Linked DNA regions of Arabidopsis thaliana. Each later gene encodes a partner of the first gene's protein in a complex. Each region holds a gene or a part of one and is shown on either strand. Other genes may lie near its edges.

What was found.
Region 2: AT1G77750 (region 1) and RPL10B share a complex: the UniProt entries of both Arabidopsis thaliana proteins name them as parts of the small ribosomal subunit.

What each region holds. Positions count from the first base shown.
Region 1 is NC_003070.9:29,229,446-29,233,361, forward strand, and holds AT1G77750 (Ribosomal protein S13/S18 family), read right to left. Parts: upstream 2,283-3,916; 5' UTR 2,046-2,282; coding exon 1,977-2,045; intron 1,390-1,976; coding exon 1,165-1,389; intron 1,072-1,164; coding exon 901-1,071; 3' UTR 545-900; downstream 1-544. UniProt on the Arabidopsis thaliana protein: Located at the top of the head of the small subunit, it contacts several helices of the 18S rRNA.
Region 2 is NC_003070.9:9,319,764-9,323,549, reverse strand, and holds RPL10B (Ribosomal protein L16p/L10e family protein), read right to left. Parts: upstream 1,901-3,786; 5' UTR 1,842-1,900; coding exon 1,832-1,841; intron 1,586-1,831; exon of another isoform or gene 1,479-1,585; coding exon 977-1,478; intron 891-976; coding exon 737-890; 3' UTR 522-736; downstream 1-521. Other genes in the region: AT1G26900 (Pentatricopeptide repeat (PPR) superfamily protein), read left to right, coding at 2,076-3,786.

The DNA.
Region 1 (3,916 bases):
AAGTGGAGTGTATTATCACGAGTGCAATTACGATTTAGACAAAAAAAAAAATAGAAAAAAAAAAGATGAATCACATGGTTGTGGGTCACTCAAAATAGGCCCATATAATTTTCAAGGCCCACATAAGTTATTGTTCAAAAAGCTAGAAAATGAAAGATTACGTGGAGGATCATTTAGACAAACAAATGAGTGGAGAGGAAATGCGATCATTGGTAAATAAATGTGATCGGGTCTAGTAGGGCTTCCGATTAGTCTATTTCCCAAATTTATCTCTCTGATATATCAATTTCAAGTCACTTGGTCTCATTTCTTGTGATTCCAATTCGATTTCGTTATTTTGTTCCCCATGATTCGTGTCCCAACCCGTATCATATCTTTGCTGTATATTTTATCAGAGCAAAAAAAAAAAAAAAAAAATAATGAAGTTGGGTATCTATTTTGTTGATGTAACTTATGTAATATGTTGACGTTATAGCATTGTTGAATCCAACACGAATTGTTAATGGGCTACAAAATAATTACATGGGCTTCTTACGATGGGCCACTAATATAAGGTCAAATGTGAATTACACAATAAGCTGAAGACAAATTTGGAATTAGTCTTGTTGACAAAACCAAAAAAAGAAATTGAAACTGGGCTCAATTTCAATCCATGTTTTTAGGATAACAAATCACACAAAGAGAGACTATAGAAGCTAGAGAGAGTATTGCAGAACAGTTTTGAAGCATTCTTCTTCCTCTGCAATGGCAATGGCAATGGCAATGACAAAAAAAGACTGGACAAATCATGTTTTACTTATTTGATCAGTTTCATCCCAAAAATAACACAAAGCCATGTCTGTAAACAATAAGACATGGATTACAACTTATGAATCCCAGAGAATAGATAGAAAGACAGGTTTACTTGCGAGGGGCTTTCTTCTTTCCTGCAATCGCAACGGCTTTGCCCTTTTTGGTGCGAGCGTTAGTACTGGTTCTTTGTCCTCTGCAAGGCAATCCATGTCTATGTCTACTACCTCTGTAGCAATCTACTTCGACCAGTCTCTGTATTTCCGATCCAACACGCCTCCTCTTTAAAATCGAACAACAAAAACGGTTTGAGAGATGGAATAGATTTAAGACCATGATAAGAAAGTCAAATGTGATTGGATAAAAGGATTATACCAGTTCATCACCATGCTGGTGCTGGCCAACTTCTTCACGGAGATCAATGAGTTCTTTTCCAGTTAAGTCTCTGGCAAGTTTGTTAGTGATTCCAAGGTGACAGAGAACCTGGTGAGATTTACGGCGGCCGATTCCATAAACTTCTTGAAGACCGGTTTTGAGTGGCTTATTGTTTGGAACCTCTGCGTTTCCCACACGAATTCCTTGGACTCGTAACCCATGAAACTGTAGACAAAGAAAATACATAAATTGATGTATAATCTAAAGAGAGAAATCAAATAAGGTAATGGGTTTGATCAAACTTTGCTTCACAGAGACAGAGTTAGTCAAAAAGCTAAGCAAGTCAACAATTCTAACTAAAAGCAAATTGCAAAACATTGTTTTAACCTGAGACAAGAACTAGCCAACATTTGAGATGCTTCCTTAAGAATTATCATTCCTAGAACTTTATTTGCATAGAACTAACAAAGAATGCTCCACAAAAGTAAACGCTTTAGGAGAATCGTTTGACTATAATATCATGGCAATCTCATAATGTAGACATTGAACTATACATTAGACCTTTCGATTTCAAAGATTTGTTCTTTCTTCTACATAGCACTGTTGAAAATGGGTAAGAAGCCAAAATCACAGAGCAATAAGACGACTTTGAAACAACCCCGGAAATACTACATACCGAAAGAGAGATTTTTAGGTGACGATAGATTTGAATTTGATGAAATCTAATACCAAGAGAGATGAATCGATTCGATCTATTGAAACCCTAATCGTAAAACCCAAATGTGGCGCTGAAGTGTTAGACAGATACTAACCGTAACATTACGAAGCAGAGACTGGCTGATGTCGAACAAGGTCGTCGCAGATCTTCGTAAACCCAACATCGTCGAAGCTCAGTTTCAGAGATTTGACGGTGAAGATGAATGTGAGTGAAGGGTTTAAGATTCAGTTTCCAACCGCCCGCCACGTTTTCAATCCAAACGCAAACGCACTTCTTTCTCCTCTTGACGTGTTGGGCTTTGAAAAGAAAAATTATTATTGGGCTTTTTAATAGAGGCCTTGTGTCAAGTAAGGGCTTAAGATTATACACCGACTTCTTAAGAGAGAGGCCTCGAATATAGAGAATATTATCCCAATTCTTGGGATAGAACGAAAATAATATAATCTGTGAGAAAAACATATAAAGTAATTCAAGACTTCAAGTTACTCAAACTTGAGCTATCTAACTATATATATCAAACTACAGGTTTATTATTTTTATTTATATATTTTTTCACTTCAATTCAAACTTTTTAAAAAAAATCAATTTACTCTCTATTTTTCAAAATTTCCAAATTTTTGTTTATGTTAACTATTTTATATCCATTACCACATTATTTGGTTAAGGGTAGAATTTGGCATTTTGCGAATATTATATGCATGCAACAATCATCTGTCAATTTATTTTAAAAAGTGTAGTCATTTTCACGAAAGAAACTTGAAAAAGTTGGCAAAAGGGTACGACAATGACTCAGACGTGTTAAGCACGGGACATCTTTTTGTATCTGTGGTCTATATTAATTACATTCCCTTTTCCATACTATTTTTATGAAGACATTTTCAAATTCACATCAAATAGAAAATAGCTCCTAATTAAGTTTTTACTTAACACGGTGAAATTATAACAACAAATTTTTTATTGAAAGGTACTTCTCAAAAATTTGTGATCGGAACCAACTCTTAGGTTAGACCGACGTATTAGATATTACGTCTCACATTAAGACAAAATGACAACTTGGAAAAATTTAGTGGTTAATTAACCCTATTAGTTGTTAAGAGGGTCGTTCCAAACTTCATTTACAGCGATGTCAACAAGTGAAATGTTGTTTATATATTAGTGGCAACTGGCAATACAGTGACATATAAGTTCTTTCAAAGTATAGTAATTAAGAAGAGAGTGCATGAACAGTGCTGCTTATTTCCCTGGTAAAATATCTAACTAATTGCCCACAATAATTGTTTTAATTTTAAAGTCAAAGCTATATTGATATGTTTAGTATAATTCTATAGTAGATTTCCGTACATTTCTAAACTAATTTTGCTTGGGTTTGTTTTCCAACAAGTAGGATTTAGAAATTCCGACAATTATAATTGATTCTTCCACTTGGAAAAAAAAAATAAACTCCAACGACTGTGGCAAATGGGAATGGAGATTTAAATAATATATTTCCCAATGTAGTTGGAGCCATTCCCTATGCTTTTGGAAGCCCACAAATCTTTGAATAATCCAAAATTTATCCTTTGCCTGTTGGCTGAGAGCTACTTAATCAAAATACATTATCGTATTAAACAAATTAATCTGATTAATTAGCAATTAGTGGAGTAATGGTTGAATATAAGACGTCTTAATGACCCCGGTCATCCTTGCGTCTGACTCTTAATAGCCATAAGAGACGTCTTTGGTGAACTTAATCATCATGTTTGATTCCTAATTATTAAAGTAATGAGGGATCAAATGTAGGTCGTTAATGATTTCACAAAACGACAAAACTAAAACTCAAAATCATCGAGCTTAACCGGTGGTTCCATAAAATGTTATTTATATCAAAAATGTTCTTCTTTGAAAAATTAAAAAATTCGTCAGTGAGTTAAACAGAATATTTACAATGAACAAATAACGCCATTGAATAAATAAAATTTGAAACGATGCATGTTTGTTGAATTTGTTTGTAAAATGTTGTTTTGTGGCCAAATTTAAATTATATTTGGACCATTT
Region 2 (3,786 bases), about 20 Mb from region 1:
CTAAGTATTTGCAAGAGAATGATTGGAGTTGCATTATGTGCAAAGAATTTCTTTAACAATCTAAGTTGAAGTACATTTAAATAAATAATGGATAGGGAAGAACAGTTGTGGGAACACTGAATTTTCTATATAGGGTTTTTGATGAGGCAACAGAGGATTTTACACAAACGCATCACAAACACATAAATTCTCAAGATATCGAAAAAATTCAATAGCAGAAAATAAAACCAGAATAGATCCCTCATAATCTTAGATAAGTAGGAGACTAATCGATAGATAAACAGAAATGGAAGAGCAAAGTGACGCACCTGTACTCATCTTGAAGCTAGGGATTCACCAGCAACGATGCTTTAGATTCATGTGTCAATGGGGAATAGCTGAATCTTACAGAAACAGTCCTTAAGTTTATGGGCCTGAACTTGGACCGTACGCAGGTTTACGTAATAGTAGTCATAATCGATATTGTTAACACTGAAGTAAACTATAAGAACCAATGGGTAATGCCGGGTTTCAAGGTGTGAGCTCAAGTGGTGCTAGAACACAAATGACAACAATGATTAAGCTCATTTCCAAATTTGCATAAATGAAAGATAACAAAACAAGTCTTTCATAAAACTTATCCATGAACAACAGAACCGCAAGAGAATTGTTTGTAACTGTCACTACCAACAAAAAAATAAAAACTGAGTATCTGCCAAAACTAGGATATCAACTCCACATCGACAAGTCATCTGCATCACTGTGCACCAGCTGACAAGAACGCACTTCCGGGCTGACGGTTAGCCAACGGACCATGGCAAGATAGGAACTTGGCATTTACACCATCAGGGACAATCCTCTTCTCTTGCCTTAGCTTTGTGTAATCAGCACGGTTAAACTTGGTGAACCCCCTATAATATTCCAACTTCAAACATCAACAAGAAGCCTTTTGCAAAACAAAAAGAAAGTAACATAAAAAAGCAAACACAAATCATACCATTTCCTGCTAACAATGATCTTTTGACGACCAGGGAACTTAAACTTAGCACGACGAAGAGCCTCCTGAGCATGATGACCATGAGCATCTTTGCACCTCACAGACAAAAGAACCTGTCCAATAGCAACTCTAGCACAAGTACCAAGAGCTTTGCCAAAAGCACCTCTCATACCAGTCTGAAGTCTATCAGCTCCAGCACAAGAAAGCATCTTATTGATCCTAAGAACATGGAAAGGATGAACTCTAATACGGAGATGAAACGCATCTTTCCCGGCAGACTTCACCATGTACTTGTTACAAGCAATACGAGCAGCTTCAAGAGCTTCACTTGAAACATTCTCTTTCTCCCATGAAACCAAATGAACACAGTAAGGGAACTCATCAACTCCTTTCCTCTTCATACCAACATCGTAAATCCTGATCTTAGGATCGGGAACACCACGACAGTATCTTGATTTAGGGTATGGCTTTCCCTTAATTTGACGGTAACATCTCGCAGGTCCTACACATTTGAATACATTTATACATTTTCAATAACAAGTTGAATCCTTTCTGATACGCAATTCAAACAAAAGCCTAATCCAAATGTAAAATTCCGAGCTTAAGCAAATCTAATAATGCGACTTGAGTGATTAGAAAAATCCATTTTTGACACTGAACCTAACAAAACGAACCTAATCCACATGTAAATTCCGAGCTTAAGCAAGTCTAATTTACGATTCCGGCGACAAAACTCGTCTCCAATGAGATCGAAAAACAGAGACCCTAGCAAATACGATATGCAGAGAACGAATCTATCTATCCATAGAAGATCGATTACATTCAGAGAAATAGATTATTTAGCAATCTGCTTACTTCGTCCCATCGCGTTGATTGTTGTTTCGAATCCTAGAAATGAAGAAGAAGAAGAAGAAGAAGAAGAAGAAGAAGAAGAAAGGCGTAACTTTTTTAAATAAGAAGAACAAAGAGCCCTAATTCTCTTTGCCACGTAACTGGATTTGGACCAAAATAAGGCCCATTAAGGAACTAAAGCCCAATTTGATATTTTAAGCTTAAAAAACAAATCCGTGTTTATTCCGGCGACTTTTTTTTCTTTCTGATGACATTGGCGATTACGTCACGGCTCAGGCGCAATTTCGTGTTCCGTCGTAGGAATCTTGAATCGTTGTTGTCTCCACAATGTCAGAAACTTATCAACGATCTAAGGTCTTGCAGAGACACCGTCGAAGTTTCTCGAATTCATGGTTACATGGTGAAAACGGGACTCGACAAGGACGATTTCGCAGTGAGCAAGCTTCTTGCTTTTTCCTCTGTACTTGACATTCGATACGCTTCGTCGATCTTCGAGCATGTCTCCAACACTAATCTCTTTATGTTCAACACTATGATCAGAGGTTACTCGATTAGCGATGAGCCGGAGCGAGCATTTTCTGTTTTCAACCAATTGAGAGCTAAAGGTTTGACCTTGGACCGATTCTCGTTTATCACGACTCTTAAATCATGTTCTCGTGAATTGTGTGTTTCAATTGGTGAGGGATTGCATGGGATTGCTTTGAGATCTGGGTTTATGGTTTTTACTGATTTGAGGAATGCTCTTATACATTTTTACTGTGTTTGTGGAAAGATTAGTGATGCTCGGAAAGTGTTCGACGAAATGCCGCAGAGTGTTGATGCTGTTACGTTTAGTACTTTGATGAATGGGTATCTTCAGGTTTCTAAGAAAGCGTTGGCTTTGGATTTGTTTAGGATTATGAGAAAAAGTGAGGTGGTCGTTAATGTCAGTACGTTGCTTAGCTTTCTTTCGGCTATTAGTGATCTAGGAGATTTGTCTGGAGCAGAATCTGCTCATGTGTTATGCATCAAGATTGGCCTTGATTTAGACTTGCATTTAATCACAGCTTTGATAGGGATGTACGGCAAAACTGGGGGTATCAGTTCAGCACGCAGGATCTTTGATTGCGCCATTCGAAAGGATGTTGTTACATGGAACTGTATGATAGACCAATATGCCAAAACGGGTCTCCTTGAAGAGTGTGTATGGCTACTGAGGCAGATGAAGTATGAAAAAATGAAACCGAATTCATCTACATTTGTTGGGCTGTTGTCTTCCTGTGCGTACAGTGAAGCAGCATTCGTAGGACGTACTGTTGCTGATCTATTGGAAGAGGAAAGAATAGCTTTGGATGCAATACTTGGAACTGCACTCGTTGATATGTATGCAAAAGTAGGATTGCTTGAAAAAGCTGTTGAGATTTTCAATAGAATGAAGGATAAGGATGTAAAGTCCTGGACCGCGATGATCTCGGGTTATGGAGCTCATGGACTAGCAAGAGAAGCAGTAACACTATTCAATAAGATGGAGGAAGAGAACTGCAAAGTGAGACCCAATGAGATTACCTTCTTGGTTGTGCTGAATGCTTGTAGCCATGGAGGGTTGGTAATGGAAGGAATCAGATGCTTTAAGAGGATGGTTGAGGCTTACAGCTTCACGCCCAAAGTTGAACATTATGGTTGTGTGGTTGATCTTTTAGGTCGAGCGGGGCAGTTAGAGGAAGCGTATGAGTTAATAAGGAACTTACCGATCACAAGTGATTCAACGGCTTGGCGTGCTCTGCTAGCTGCTTGTAGAGTATACGGGAATGCAGATTTGGGGGAAAGTGTGATGATGAGATTGGCTGAAATGGGTGAGACTCATCCGGCAGATGCAATTCTTCTAGCTGGGACACACGCTGTTGCAGGGAACCCAGAAAAATCATTAGATAATGAGTTGAATAAAGGGAGAAAAGAAGCTGGATACAGCGCCATTGAAA